Linked DNA regions of Canis lupus familiaris. The protein of the gene in region 3 interacts with the protein of the main gene of each other region in a biochemical or structural test. Links are inferred from orthologs where the notes say so. Each region holds a gene or a part of one and is shown on either strand. Other genes may lie near its edges.

Region 1 (6,006 bases), about 19 Mb from region 3:
CTCGTGAATACATAAAATCTTAAAAAAAGAAAAGAAAAGGTCTTGTTCTGAATCTCCTGGTTAATGTAGTCAAAAGTCTGGGTCTTAGTTGCCCCATAGAGGAGAAGTACCTAGGCAAAATATCCAAACTGCGACACACTCCTGGATCACTGAAAAACCACCTGTTCTTTTCTCTGCGTGCCAATACATCGCCTACCAGTGTTTATTTCTACTTTCTAGAGAGAGGGCCAATATTTTATGAAGTTCTATAGTTGAAGACACTCTTTGATAATTAATCAGCTTAAAACCTTTTCCCCAATTATCCTCTGATATACTACAAATGCAAAAGATCCTTGCAAACAAGGATTTCATTTTTCTTAAAATAACTACATTCTGGCTTAATAGCAATCTGACCTTGTACACTTTAGCCTGAAATCATATTTTAAAAATGCAATATAAAAGTCTTTAAATGCAGGGATCCCTGGGTGGCTCAGCAGTTTAGTGCCTGCCTTCGGCCCAGGGCGTGATCCTGGAGTCCCAGGATCGAGTCCGGCGTCGGGCTCCTTGCATGGAGCCTGCTTCTCCCTCTGCCTGTGTCTCTGCCTCTAATGAATTAAAAAAACAAAACAAAACAAAACAAAAACTTTAAATGCTTGATAACTCAGTATAATGTCCAAGTAGAGTTTTAAAGTCTTTGTTTTCTAAGTCTTACAAAATGAAGAGAAAAACAAATGCTTTCTACCCCTTAGTCTTTTATCATCTCATTTAACTCTGATGCTCTCACTTCACTTACCGTTAACTACTAGGATGGTAAATAAAAAGTCCAACTGTGGCAGTTCTCCTGTCCTTATTTATCTACTCGCCTCCCCCCAAAAACTCATATTACTAAGACAATACTGCAATTTCATCTTTTTAAGCACAGATCCAAGATGCTTTTGTTCGAAGCAATATTTCATTATGGTGATCTAAAAAATTCACATGGATTCTAACACCAATATGATAAAAATTTTGAAATGTAAAATCAGTGTATTTGTTCCCAAGTAAGGATTCAGGTAATAACAACAACAAAATAGAAAATATATCAAGTCTAAACAAGATGTTTTATTTTTTTGACTGGATAGATACCCTTTTTTCTAGCAGACTTAACTCTGAGAATTAGGGATTCTCAGGCCCTCTTTACAGCCAGTTTTGACTCACATACTATAAAAAAAAGGGAGCCACTCTAATTCTGAGGCGACTTTCCAACAGGCCTATTTTTAATTCCTCAGTTCTGTTATTTGCAGACCTGAAACCAGTAACATTGATCCCTTTGGTACTTTTTCTGCACACATACTTATGACATAGATACAGCAGTTTCTCATCTAATTTACCTCAGCATTCGTGTTCCTTATGCAAAATCACACATTCCTTTTACCGCCACCCATAAACATATTCAAGCTTTATCTTATCTATTTCCGATTTCTTCAACAAGAAGCATTAAAACCAAAGGGTCTCAAAATAAGCAAAGGAGTTTGAATACAGCCATCACATCAAGCACATGAAAAAAGATGCTCAACATCTTTAATCATTTAGGAAATGTGCATCAAAATCACAATAGGATGCCACTTCCCACCCCCAGGGTGGCCAATATCAACAAAAATCCCCCCCCCCCCCCATAACAAGTCTTACAAGGGTAGGTGGAAACTGATGCCTTCATACAGTTTGTGGTAATGTGGTACAGCCACTTTGAAAAAAAGAATTCACGAGCTCCTGCAATTCCACTCTTAGATACACACCTCACAGAATTGGAAACACGTCCACATAAAAAGCTGTACACAATATTCACAGCAGCACAGTTCACAATGGCCAAAAATCATCCAAATGTCCATCAACCGATAAAGAAGAAACAAAATGTGGCATATCCATATAATGGAATATTATTCAGCCATAAAAAAGGAAAACCCGCCACACCACGGAGGAGCTAGAGATTATGTTAAGTGAAAAAAGCCAAAAAGCAAAAGGCCACATACCGTAAGATTCCATTTATATGAAATGTCCACAATAGGCAAATCCACAGAGACAAAGCAATTAGTGGTTGTGGAGGGACAATCGTAAGGGATGGCCTAATACGCTTAATAGGTTTCTCTTGGTGATGACGTGAATGTTGTGGAATTATAAAGAAGTGACAGCTGTGCAACACTGAATGTACTAAACAGCAATGGACAACACACTTTAAAATGATTGAACAGTGAATTTTATATCAAACAAAAACAACCCCAGAAACCTGAGTGTATTTTTAACTACCTCAACTGAGGAAAAATCCCTGATTTTGAAGAGGGCTAATACGGAGCTATCCATAAAGTGTGCCCGTAAAGCCACTGCAGAGGTGGTTTCCCCAGGGCACTCGGGCAGCCAAGGCCTATCTGTGACAGAACATAGACCCGGGGCAAGGGATCCAGTATAATACGTACCCACGCACACACGCATTTTCTTCATCTACAGCAGATTCTAAGGACTTCCAAGTCAGGTATGAGATTTCTCAAACTTGTTCATATTGAGGGAAAGATTTCCAGAGAACAAATCTAGTTAACACTCAGCAGTATCATGTATGGAGAACCACCTTGGGCCAGGAAAAGGGCAATGCAAGTACGGTTTATTCCCATTTTGAAAGTGCGCGAACTAAGTCTTCAAAAAAAAGTTAAACCGTTCCTGTTCAGACTTCACAGAGCTTACAAGAGAAAATGGCTATTTCCCACCGCTAGTAACACTTAACCGTCCAATTTACTTAGTTTTAAAGCCCACATAGCACGCTACAGTTTGCCAGGCAGGGTTTTCAACATTTAATAGTAGTGCCTGGCCTTTCTAACTCGGAAATGGACACTGCTGTGGGGCCGAGAAGCGCACAACTCGCCCCGAGGCACACAGCCACTAAAGCGCGCTGAGAAAACGCGACTGGAAGCCGAGCGCCGGCAGCCTCACCCGGCGGAGTGCACCTCGGTTTCTGCCGCCAGCGTTTACGTAAAGCAGCCTCGCGTCCTCGGGCTCGGCCGGCGGGAGCGGCGGGGCCTGAGGGGAACGTGAAGGTGACCAGCCCGCCCCGCTCCCCGGGGGCACCACTTCAGCGGAGGCCGGAGGCCGGAAGCCGGCAGGGGCCGCTGCAGGTGGGCGGCGGGTCGGCCGAGGCAGAGGTCGGGGAGCCGACGACGCAGGAAGGAGCCAGGGAGGCGGCCGCCGGCTCCTCCGCTAGGTACGCGGGGCGGGGGACGGGCGCGAGCGCCGGCGCTCGAAGCCCCGCACGGCCGCGTGAGGAAGATGAAGCCAGACCCTTACCTCTTCCAAAGCTGAAGCCATGGTCGGGCTGATCAGGCAAGGCCCGAGCTGCAGCCGCGCAGGGGAGGGAACAGGAAACACCGCACGGAACGCACTCGCCCGGACGCAGGCCCCACCCGCACGGCTCGCAGCGCCCCAAGCCTGCGCGCACACCCGACCCGGCGCGAGACCCGGCCCGCCTCCCGCACGCGGCGCCTCTGGAACCTTCGCGAGTCCGTCGCCGGCGCACCCCCCCCAACCCCTCACTCCGCGCGCGCGCCGCCCGCCTCGCCTAGCCCCGCCCAGCCCCGCCCCGCCGACCCTGGCCCCGCCCCTCCCGCCGAGCCTCCTAGCAACGCTCAACTCTCGCGAGCAAACCAGCAGCTCGAGAACAGTAACGCCTCTTCCTCCCCGCCCGGGAAACTGTACGTGTTCTACTTTGACCTCGCGTGTCCCCGCTGCGCAGTCGCAGCTCAGAACCGCTGTCATGACGCGCCTTAACCCAACCCCGGAAATAACGTACTGGTTTTTGGGGTCCAAACCGGAAGTTGGTTAGAGTCGGCTGGTTTCGTCCCCTGGAGGGCTGCCATCTTGTCTAAAGCTAGTTTATGAGCGTTTGCGAGAAACGGACCCCAGGGGGGAGAAGAGGCAGCCTTTTTATGTTAAAACGGAAAAGACTGACAGTTAGTGTCCTGAAGGGAACAGTTCGGTGTTCCGTGGGGTCCGACGCCCTCGAGAGGTCACCACGGTTTAGCGTCTACGATATGTTTGCGTCATCACGGAGCGCCACGGGAAGGGGTGGGGGTTGCGCTGGCCACGTGACAGGGCCCAGTGGAGCCGCCTGGGGTTGCGGCGGCTGACCCCGGCTCTCGCGGTGCCCGGCCGCAGTGGGGCGCCGCCTTTCCCCGTTGACTGGGTTGCTGCTCTGGTACCTTCGTCCCCTTCAGCGAACATTCTGTGACTCAGGCTTGAATTGGATTTAACTGAGCCTGTTAACCAGAGAAAACGTAGGCTGAGTTTTCCTGGGATTACATCATCATCCTCTTTTTCAGATAATTCTAGCCTTTGGCCGCCGCAAAACGTCGGCAACACGATTGTGAACACCTAGTGACCTCTGGAAAACCAGTCCGCCCTCACCCCGCTGTACATATGGCCCAAGGTAGCGACTAGAGTCAGCGAGGTGAGGAGGGTGAAAGCTGCCTGAAGGGTGCGGGCTGACCACTGCGCGGTGGAGGACTGGAGTGCGCCAGGGAAGTGGACCCACCAGGGCTGCTTAGTAAGCTTGCGACTCGGACGTGACCTTAGGGGAAGGAGCCAGAAGCGCTCCTGTCGTTTGGTTTTATTTAAACGAAGGCTAAGGCCAGCAAAAGTCATTAGGGTGTTTAAAATCAGGCTGGTCTTCCCTTGGATGGGGAGGACAATGACCGCCATCAGGAGGCTTTGAGGTTCAGATAAAGTCCTGTTTCTTGATTTGGATGTTGGTTACAGGTGTGTTCACTTTGTAGAAATTTCATGCAACTGTAAACTTAAGTGCAATTTTTTTGTATGGAATACTTAGCTAGGAGTTCTATTTAAGTACGTCCAGGAGGCCGTTTTCCTGAGAAGGTGAAATGTTAAGCTCAAACATCACCGTTGTCAAAATTGATGGAATGAACTCCGAAGATACGTGCGTTTTGCTTTATAATAACTTCCTGTTTTTAAAAAAGTGTCCAGCTAAAAGCCTGGGATTATTTGCACTTAAATAGGAACAAATAAGCCATTGCACTGCGTGAAAGCTTGACGTAAGGCAGTGGTTTTCTTTTCTTTTTTTAGGCAGTGGTTTTCTAATTTGCTTGACGATGGACGTGGGGCAACTCCCTCTACCACCAGGTAGTCTAAAGTTAGGTGATTTATTTTATTACTCGTCTTTTTTTTTTCTTTTAAATTCAAGTTCATTAACATTTAGCATAGTACTAGTTTCAGGAGTAAAATTTAGTGATTCATCAGTTACGTATAACACCCAGGGCTCATCTCAACAAGTGCCCTCGTAATGCCCGTTAGCCATCTTATCTCCTCCAGTAACCCTTGGTTTATTCTCTATAGTTAAGAGTCTCTTATGGTTTGCTTTCCTCTCTCTTTTTTATTTTATTTTATTTTATTTTTATTTATTTATTTAAAAAAAATTTTTTTTTAATTTTTATTTATTTATGATAGTCACACAGAGCGAGAGAGAGAGAGAGGCAGAGACACAGGCAGAGGGAGAAGCAGGCTCCATGCACCGGGAGCCTGATGTGGGATTCGATCCCGGGTCTCCAGGATCGTGCCCTGGGCCAGAGGCAGGCGCTAAACCGCTGCGCCACCCAGGGATCTCTCTCTCTCTCTCTCTCTCTCTCTCTCTCTCCCTCTCTCCCTCTCTCCCTCTCTCCCTCTCTCCCTCTCTCCCTCTCTCCCTCTCTCCCTCTCTCCCTCTCTCCCTCTCTCCCTCTCTCCCTCTCTCCCTCTCTCCCTCTCTCCCTCTCCTCTCCCTCTCTCCCTCTCTCCCTCTCCTCTCTCCTCTCTCCTCTCCCTCTCTCCCTCCTCTCCTCTCCTCTCTCCTCTCCTCTCTCTCTCTCTCTCTCTCTCTCTCTCTCTTTTTTTAAGATTTTATTTATTCATGAGAGACACACAAAGAGAAAGAGGCAGAGACCCAGGCAGAGGGAGAAGCAGGCTCCATGCAGGGAGTGCAACGTGGGACTCGATCTCGGGTCTCCAGTATCAGAC
Region 2 (5,226 bases), on a different chromosome or scaffold from region 3:
CAGCCCTTAACACAGCGACTTTCTCTAAAGTGTTCAAACATACCTACTAAATAACACTCTAAAATGTCTTCTCGTGGACTAACACATAAAAATAATGTGAATAAATATAGTAATGGGAATTTACCAGTGAAACCACTAGAACTAAAGACAGCTAAAATAGCAAATGTGATTTTAAAAACCCTTTAATTTTAAAGGTCTTCAATAATCTATACATAAATTAAGGTTCAACGAGAGCTGAAGAATCTCACAGAACTAAATATTAAATATCTTAAGTATCTTATTCTAGATAAGGTGAGAAGTGTACTGATGAGTAGTGCTTCTAAGACCTGTAATATTTAAATTTTAAAAGCAGCTAATCTACTGGTTTAGTCAATTTTTGTCATGTTTTGGGGAGGGAAAAAAAAGCAGCCATGGCACCCATCACTGCAGTATCAGCTCGCCCAGCCCTGTGTGTCCCAGTGGGCCTACCATGAGCCAGGGCTTCAGGGAAGGCTAATCACTGTGCAATGGTCTGATAAGTTGCTGAATGCTGAACACAAAAATGTCTTGAAAGAAACTAAGTTTAGCCTCCAATTTATCAATTGGGACTTATCCAAAAAGCAGTTTCATGCTCTATTTACCTCAGATAAAAATCATAACGTTAAGAATATGTACATGACCATCCATTCAAAATGAAAATATGTATTTTCAACCTTTTTATTGCCAACAAAACAAAGAATTCTCCAAGTAAAGCCTGTTGACAGCACATTTTTAAAATCCAACAGTATGATTTTCACCTGGATAAAAATCAAAAAATCAAATTACTTTTTGTTCTACACCCCATGACTTGGTTGTATTCTGATTTCAGACAGAAGACAGTGACACTGGCATAGAACACTGAACCCTCGGCCAATAGGGATTCAGTGCCCGCTAGGAGGCCCACAGAGTTGGCGGTCTGCGGTGGCACAGGCTGCTTTTTCCCTCTGCCCTCATGCATGTTACCTTGGCACCAGACTTCTGCCCGCTTGTCTTCTTCTTACCTTGTCCTTTATACCTTGGTATCTGAGCATGAGAATAAAATGACATTTTACCACAAAGTAGAAATCTTTACAAAGAAAGTAATTCATCAAACTAATAAAGTTTCCTATGAGAAAAGCTCTCAGGAATGGAAGCCCTGATCAATATGCTCCTTTCTGAAACCCATATTTTTTCTTCTCATTCCTTAATTCTCTTCTTCGAGTGGTTCCACCCGTGTAACTACCGTACCTCACACCTACTGGGTCCCACGTCCACGCTGCGACCTTGCCCTGCCCCACAGCATCTCTGCGCTCCATGGCCAAGCCAGGCCCGGCCTCCAGAGCACTCTCCTCCAGGAGCTGCCCTGGCCTCACCTGGCCTTGCCTCACTCAGGAGCACACAAAGCGGGTTCCTGTGGATGGGGCTGGGCTCCAGGCTTGGCCACAACGTCCCACAGCTCCTAGTGCTCTCCATGGGCACCCAGACCAACCAGGTATGCTGAGAGCCCAAAATGATTCAAAGACCACTGAGAAATAAAAGACAGCTGGCAAGAAAAAGGTGGGGAAAGTGCTTAATCCCCAAATCCACATACCCAGAACTACACAGAACTGCCACCAGAAGGCCTCATCTTGAAATGAGTCCTCCATGGCACTGAGGGCATGGCCGCCCTCACAGGGCCTCTGCTGCCCCACCTCCGGCCTCCGCCACCCCCACGGGCCTCCAGCGCCCCCACGGGCAACCCACAGAAGGTGGTGAGAGCAAGTAAGGGGACACCTGGAGGGGATTGCCACTCTCCAAATCCACCTTTTAAAATTAACAGCACTTCTCTGTACTTAAGGCCACATTTCCTAACTGACTTAAAAGATTCTCATCATAATTCTTAGATCTTAAAAATAAAATCTGCATAGAGAAAATATGTCCAAGACTTTAATGTTATCCTGAACACACACCACATGTCAAAGGTTCATAGTGCTAATTTGCTTTACAAAATACTAATTTGCTAAAAAGAGAACTTCCAAACAGCTCAATGCTATAGGTACTGATGTTCTGGTATGTGCATTAATTTTAGCCCCTTCACAGCCGGACATTTTCACAGAAAGCACAGCTTTTTCACAAAGACTCCTGTATCTGACAATTCACTAAAAGGGACTTTTCAAATTTACTCACGACCTTGTTCTCTGTAACCACAGTTACAGCCTCCCATTAGCATGGAGGGAAAACCTTCCCCACAGAGAAGCTAACTAGATCTCAGAGAGGAGGGACACGTACAAACTGCATGATGGTCTCTTTCCTGGGCTGGAAATAAAGCAGAAAATCCTATGATTTGAAAAGATGAAATAAAAAAGATAAAAAGCAAATGCAATGTCACAGACCCAGGGACAAAACAACAGGAACCACTTGGTATCTAAGCCCAGGCACCTGCAAGACAGACATCTAGGCATACAACCCCTGCCCTCTAGGAGTCACCTAATGGAAGAGGCACAACTGTACTGCCAAATCAACACAGGACCAGGAACCACTGGTAAGCGTTGCTCTGACCGCGTACTCAGGGGGGCCTCACCCTAATCCCGCAAGATGGCAATCAGAGCAACAGTCACAACACAACCCGACCCAAACCCATCCTTAGGTGGGACTGGCTGCTGCAACCAGTCAAGAGACAACATGCTCCCTAACAATCACGTTCTACCCATTCTTGTGATCATGGACTTGAAATTTCAGCATTCCACTCAGTATTTTTCTCCAGTATGCCAAATCCCTGAAATCAGAAGGCCTTAACTTTAACAACCCATAAACCACACACACAACATACACACACACACACACACACAACCAACCAGAGCACACATATTTTCTTATAAATCCTCAAAATAGCGCATTAATATAAAAAATCATTGTAATTTGCATTCCTAAACTTGTCTCCTATCTACAACATTCAACACAATATTCTGGAACAACAGTCTGGAACCTAGGATCCTCAAGCTAGGAGTTCATAAATGAAAAGTAAATCTTGTCAACTAAGGAAGAAAATTTTCAAAGTATCAAATGAGTCCAAATATCCTAGAGTCCTGTGATTTAACAGAGCATTCCTTTCTATGACACAAAATTCCTAACACTATGAACAGCGTGAAATAATTTTCAATATACACTTCATCAAGCAGAAAAAAGCAATTTCAAGAAACTAAACAGCACTTGCATTGCAAAACAAAACTTGGAACAAGTCAGAGCAAGAGAAAACCAGAGCCCTGTAGATGTCCTTGTGTCCCTGCAGCCAACTCACCTTACTGGGAGCACTGTGTGCACTTGTTTTGCCTTCTGGTGACTTTGGTGGAGAATGTGCATCAGATAGATCTAGTGCACCCTAAAATATTTCACAGTTTAAGGTTAGAACATATTTTAAAGTAAAACGTAAATATACATTATGCCTAATAGATTTTTAGCATTTAAAACCACTACACAATGGTATCTTTAATTCTTTCTAAATAATATAATCGTATTAGATTTTCTCCAATTTTACTAAAACAACAAAAACAAAACAAAACACACTTAGATTCTAATTACCTAAGTATTTCACTCTGTCACCTTTCGCAAGCCACTCAGTCGTCAGTTCAACACACCCTGGCTGACCTTCCCACACGATCCCTTTGCACCCCGTCCCAGTGACTGCACCAGCACCGGCCAGTGATTCTCATGCATCTAGTCTTTTCACCCTCTCTTGACTCACTTCTCTCCTTCCTTTTGTCACGAGACTATCAAACAGCAGCTCATAAATCACACCACCCTCTTCAAAGAGCCACACTCTCCTTCTTCCTCTGCACATTCATGCTATCGTCTCATCTCTGGCCACCCCACTGCACTGTACCCCACCCTGCAGCATCACAAAACCACCACCTTCAGGGCACCAGCTGGTTGATTCTCAGCACTATGCTAAATGCAAAAGAGAAATTTTTAAATGTTTCTTCAATGGAAATAACCTCTTAAAATTCATCCACTACATCATAAGCAGCTATGTGCACTGTGTGCATATTACATATTGGTTACTTTGGTATAAAAATCCTTCCCATGACTATAGTTTTTACATATGGAAATGTGCTGCTCTTCATGCCTCCTGCTCCTCCCTTGAGCCCCATGACTTCTGGTACAGCACCATCTTCTCCCAGGCTGAAAACCTCATCTCACCTTTGCAAGCTTTTCTTCTTGCCATATCACCCTCTGAGACCCTACTCCTTTGCCATAAGATTAATTTGCCAAATCTTGCTCCTTCTTCCTTTAAAGGAGAATCTTTTTCTGCCCATTTATCTCTGCATTTACTGCCACCATTCCTGTCTAGATGAGCCTTATAGTGGGTTTCACTTCTTCTAGTCTTTGAACGTCTCCCAATTTCACCATCTAACCTTCACAAATTCACCTTCCAAACAAGTACTTCCTCTGTACAGAAGTCTGCAAAAGGTTCCTACTGACCTTGAAATACATCATCTGTTAAGAATCCTCCCCCTCAGGGTACCTGGGTGGCTCAGCTGGTGGAGCATCTAACTCTTGATTTCAGCTCAGGTCATGAGCTCAGAGTCAAGCCCCGCAAGAGGTTCAGTGGAAGTCTGCTTCAGATTCTCTCTCCCTCTCCTTCTGCCCCTTCATCCTGCACGCAAGCACTGTCTCTAAAACAAATAAATAAATCTTTGAAAAAGAAGAAGAGTCTCAGTTGGGCTGGACCCTGCAAAGGCTACAAAGGTGAGACCAAGCCCTTGTCCCCAGCAAAGGCATGATGTGTGGAGAGGACCAGGCAACGGCAGGCAGCTACCACACCGAGGCAAAGCCAGGCACTCAGTTACAACACCTGCCAGCAGGGAGACAGGAAAATCAAGAGGAAGCATCCCAGAAGGCAGAGGGCAAGACAGACCAGGAATGACAACATTCCACAGTGGGGTATGGGGATGATGCACCATTTCAGGTGGAGAGCAGATGAGAGGACAAGAAAGCAAAAGCCACTTTCAAGTATAAGCAAGCCTGGCTGAAACATATGTTCCACGTTTCAAGAAAAGGCATAAGGCTAGAAAGATGAGTTGACACCACATCACACAGGATCTTAATTAACATCAAGGATGAGAAATCTGGAAACTATCTGGTTGCCATTACATAATGACTACAATTTTTAAAGAGGAAAGGAAAAGATGAAGAGCTGAACTGTAAAATTAAGTCAGCAAGGGTGCTGGATGCAGACTGCTGACAGCACCA
Region 3 (4,517 bases):
CAGGCTCCCTGCATTCTGGAGTTAATGAGGGCGAGGGGAGGGGCCGCGGGTCCCCTAGGGGTTAATTACGGGGGACAGAGGCCCTGGGGTAGGCCTGAGTTTAACAGGAGCCCAGTCTGGGGGCAAGGACCACGGCACAGAGATGTTGTTTCCATCTCCATCTGTCCTGACGCCCGTCTCCTGTGGAAAAGTGGGAGCTGAGGGCAGTAAAGAGAGGAGGGCAGAACGTGTCTGTCTGTCTTCCTGTCCCACCCAAGGGCCCTGTCTCCATCCTCCTAGTGGAGCAGGACTGGGAGAGCAGGGGACAGACGGAGTGTGGCTGAGCCAGGGATTCATCTCCATATGGCTGTGCCCCCCAGAAAGGGAGGTGGCAGTCGCTGCTAGGCCCCAACATTGCTCTCCTGGAGTGTTGTCGGGGTCAGTTCTCAGCTACCCACTGTGGGGACAGAAGTCTGGATCATGCTCAGTGCCACATAGTCACCAAAGCATTTCTGTTAGACATTGTATAAAATCCAGATGATTCTTTCTTTGGATGATGGGAAGTGCTGAGGAAAGGGGAGGGTGGACCAGCTTTCCTCTGGATATTTGCTCAGACTAAGAGTCAGGTCACCACATGGTGCCAGGCCTTGTGCTGGGTGTGGGCTGGGGACACTGTGGGGGTTGAGACGTTCAGTGTTGCTGACCTAGCCGAGGGTCACCCTGAGGCTATCCTCCCAGGGGTGGGTGGCACCGTGCACTGGGGGGCAGGGCTGAATGGGGTGGCTGACCTGTCCCTCTCCCTGTGCTCTTGAAGAAGATGAAAGAGAGCGGCATCGATGATCTGATGAGGACCTTGGACAAGAACAGTGACCAGGAGATCGACTTCAAGGAGTACACGGTGTTCCTGACCACACTGTGCATGGCCTACAACGACTTCTTCCTGGAGGAAGATAAATGACCAGGGTTCAGCCCCTTGCCCCTGGCCTCTTCAGCTGTCTCCCAGACACTCCCTGGCCCCTGGCCCTGCTCTCCCTTCTGGACGGACCCTGCTTCTGCCTTCCCTTCCAGCAGAAGAAATAAAGATTTTTCCATTCCTGGCTGGTTTTGCAGATGTCTTGGACACCTTGGCTGGGGGTGGGTCGGGCGAGGCAGGACTTCTCCCTGAGCTGAGTCTCCGGGCATTAGGGTCACCTACCTCCTGCCCTTCCCAGTGTGGATGCCAGCCGGCTTCCTGGGCTTAGTTCTGCCCTTCAGGGAGATGGGGAAGTTTGGGGCAGGCTTTCACTTGCCTTTCAGAGAAAGCTAAGAGGAAGTGCTTTGAGGAGTACAGGTACTGGGGAGGGTCCTGAGGGTAGTGGTGGACAAGCCAGCCTGAGGCTACCCCATGCCAGCTTCCCCCAGCAAGCCCACCCCACCCCACCCCACCCCACCCCATCATCTGTGCTTTCTGTTGTCTCCACTCCCCGCTGTGAAAATCCTTTCACTGGAGAGCAGCTAAGTAAGGCCAGGGCTGGTCAGCAAGTGCTGCCCCGCAAGAGGCTTGCAGGTGGGATTCCAGGCTGGGCTGTGGGGGTGCGGGCGGCGCGGAGGAAGGGCTATGGGGGTGAGGGTGGGGGTGCAGGCGGGGACGGAGGGCTGTGGGGTGTGGGCAGGAACTTGCTTCTGTTGAGGGGTGGGTGCTGTAGATGCCCTTTGAATCATATCCTATAGACCTGGCTGCTCCCTCTCCTTCAGCTAGGGTTGACCCCGACACCCTCTGGGGACCCCCGCCCCCCTCCCCCCCCCGTGGGCTGTGGTGTTGGCCGGGACCTCGGTGTCACGGACCTGCAGCGGTCTCGCCTGCGATCCCCGCTCCACCCTGGGAACGCGGAACCCGGAACAGCCCCGAGCGGGAGGCGGGGAGGGCTGACCCCCCTCCACCCCCCCCCCCCCCGCCCCGGCCCGCCCCGGGGTGTGTCCTGTAGACGCGGGCGCCCTGCGGGCTTGGGTGGGGGCGCGGGAGGGGCCGGGGGCGGGGCTGGGGGGGACATCGGCGAGGGGGGGCAGGGCGGGGTTGGGGGCCTGGGGGCGGGAGGAGTGGGCTCCGGCCGCCTGCCCTCGCTCCCGGCCGCTAAAAGGCGCGCAGGCCACCGCCCGTCGGTCCCTGGACGCTCTCCCGGCCGAGCGGTGAGTCCCTGCGCGCCCAGCAGGCGCCCACCCCGGCCCCAGGGGCCCCGGGCTGCCGGGGCGTGTGCGGCTCCCCTCAGGCTCCCCAGCTTCTCCCGGGCCGCTCTCGCTGCCGTCCGGTTGGTTCCTTGGCCACCTCCCTCCTGCGGGCCTCCAGGAGCGCCTCTCCCTCCCCTCAAGCCCTGGGCTGACTCCTGATGGGGACCCCGGCGACACAGCTGTTGGGGAATGTGGGTGGGCGGGGGGGGGGGGGGGGGGCTCTGGCACTGAGCAGCCTCTGCACCCCCAGCTCCCAGCCCAGTGCTCAGCCATGGCGTGCCCCCTGGATCAGGCCATTGGCCTCCTCGTGGCCATCTTCCATAAGTACTCGGGCAAGGAAGGCGACAAGAACACTCTGAGCAAGAAGGAGCTGAAGGAGCTGATCCAGAAGGAGCTGACCATTGGCCCGGTGAGTTAAGTCTCCCCTAGGCCCTAGAAGCAGGGTGAGGAGAGGGAGAGGTGCCAGGTGCATCTGACTCACAGTTACTACGTTCTGGGGACCCAGCCCACATCGTTTACTGAGACCGTTGGTCACTTCCCGATACTCGATACTCTCAGCCTGGTACCTGCCCCCAGTGAGGAGCAGGTGTGGAGAACCAGCCCAAGGTGGACTCGCATCTTTGGTGACAGGGAGAGTGCAGAGCTACTTGCATGAGTGAGGGCTGCCTGGAGGAGGAGAGGAAGAGAACCTCAGGCTCTCCTCACATTGAGTCTGGATTTCCCATTCTGTCCCGTTAGAAGCTGCAGGATGCTGACATTGCAAAGCTGATGGACGACCTGGACCGAAACAAGGACCAGGTGGTGAACTTCCAGGAGTACGTCACCTTCCTGGGGGCCTTGGCTCTGATCTATAATGATGCCCTCAAGGGCTGAGCATACAGCAGGAAGGTGGAGACACCACCCTCCATCGGGCCTGCCTAATTCAGATCCAGTGCTGGGTAACTGTTCAATAAATACCTTTCTTTGGTCAAGTCTTCCTCTGTGTCCTGGTAGCCTAGTGATTTATGTCCTGCTCTGCTTGGTTGCTGCACCAGCCATCAGAGTTTGCTCACAGTCACCTCTGGGGGTGACTTGCAAGGCCCCACACTTGGGGCCACCCTGATGAGGCCACTGCTAGGTCATAAGATGCCTTTACATGGATTCGAAAAGAGTCCCACTCTGGGCGAAGGCTCACGTGGTTCCCAGGAAAGAGGTTTCTGGGATGGGAGTGGAGAAGGAAATGGTGCCTGAACCTGGCTCTGATGGGTCTAGATTGGGGCAGAGAAAGTCCGGGTGCTGTACTTTTGGGATGTTGGTGAGGTTGGCGAGGTCTGGAGCCAAGAAAGAATTCTTGAGATTTCTTTGGTGCAAAAAGGTGGTTTTGTTAATGCACAGTGACGGGACAGTGCAATTGATTATTGAGGTTGGGGGAAGTAAAGAGAAGTTCCAGAAGGATCTTTATCAGCTAAAGTAGATTCACAGGATCCTGGGGGCATTGTTTTTGTCCAGCTAAGGCTGTTTTTCCCTCTAGCAGGGCATTGAGACAGCCGGGAGCTTCCTAGAGGAAGGTTCTGCTCTGCTGGCCTCAAGGCACTGCAGATAACAAGGGTTTTTTACATTTCCTTCTGCCTGTTCCCCTGCGTGGCTAGCCGGGGCCCTGAACCCCTGAAGACGATCGAGTTGCCTGTTTGGCCCTGGCTGTGCCGCAGTGAAGCGCAGGCAGAGAGGCCGCATCTGGCAGGCCCAGAGCCTGGCTGGAGAGGCCACCCGGGACACTGGATGGCTGCGTCCATGGCAGCTGCCCACCACCCAGTTGAAGGGGGGGCCTACTGTCTCCGTATTCAGTGTGTAAGTGTTCTTTGCATTGGGGGTGGAGGTCTGACTAGCTGGCAGCTGCAGGGGGTGCTTGGGATGGGGGGGGCAGGCTAGCCACGGCTTCTGGCCTCTGGATCAGTATTCAGTGAGCCCATCCCTGTAGCCTCAGAATGAATCACCCCAGTCATTTCATGGGAACCAAGCCTGGCTCTCAGCCCCTATCAGGGAGGATGACTAATTGAATTATTGTGTGAATCCATTGTTTGCATTTGTGGTTTCAGGGCATGGGGTGTGGGGGTAAACTGTATCTCAGGGCAATGGGGCATTTGTCACTGTTCTCTGCCCTCCAGGCCTAGTCGGAGCCAGACAAGTTCCTCTGTAAGTTCTGGGCACCTCGGAGGGAGACCACATCCTCCTTCCCCTCTTCCTCCCCCACTTCCTGGGGGCCCAACTTGGTGGAATTGTTGTCCTTCTGTACGGGCTACAATGAGTGAACAGGGGAGAAAGGGCAACGGGCTACGATGGGGAGAAAGGGCAAC

Evidence for each region.
Region 1: the proteins of S100A6 (region 3) and CACYBP are reported together in a solved structure, tested with the Homo sapiens proteins (2 studies listed by BioGRID and IntAct, with this or other methods). The link is inferred for Canis lupus familiaris from reciprocal best matches to the Homo sapiens genes S100A6 and CACYBP.
Region 2: the proteins of S100A6 (region 3) and CEP43 form a complex in vitro, tested with the Homo sapiens proteins (2 studies listed by BioGRID and IntAct, with this or other methods). The link is inferred for Canis lupus familiaris from reciprocal best matches to the Homo sapiens genes S100A6 and CEP43.

The regions. Positions count from the first base shown.
Region 1 is NC_049228.1:24,276,724-24,282,729, forward strand, and holds the start of CACYBP (calcyclin-binding protein), read right to left. Parts: upstream 3,486-6,006; 5' UTR 3,310-3,485; coding exon 3,289-3,309; intron 3,206-3,288; exon of another isoform or gene 3,187-3,205; intron 3,087-3,186; exon of another isoform or gene 2,938-3,086; intron 2,519-2,937; exon of another isoform or gene 2,430-2,518; intron 1-2,429. UniProt on the Homo sapiens protein: May be involved in calcium-dependent ubiquitination and subsequent proteasomal degradation of target proteins. Probably serves as a molecular bridge in ubiquitin E3 complexes. Participates in the ubiquitin-mediated degradation of beta-catenin (CTNNB1).
Region 2 is NC_049222.1:55,409,716-55,414,941, reverse strand, and holds part of CEP43 (centrosomal protein 43), read right to left. Parts: intron 3,356-5,226; coding exon 3,275-3,355; intron 1,042-3,274; coding exon 982-1,041; intron 1-981. UniProt on the Homo sapiens protein: Required for anchoring microtubules to the centrosomes. Required for ciliation.
Region 3 is NC_049228.1:43,489,379-43,493,895, forward strand, and holds S100A6 (protein S100-A6), read left to right. Parts: upstream 1-2,008; 5' UTR 2,009-2,145; exon of another isoform or gene 2,146-2,264; intron 2,265-2,434; 5' UTR 2,435-2,455; coding exon 2,456-2,593; intron 2,594-2,922; coding exon 2,923-3,057; 3' UTR 3,058-3,160; downstream 3,161-4,517. Other genes in the region: S100A5 (protein S100-A5), read left to right, coding at 794-937. UniProt on the Homo sapiens protein: May function as calcium sensor and modulator, contributing to cellular calcium signaling.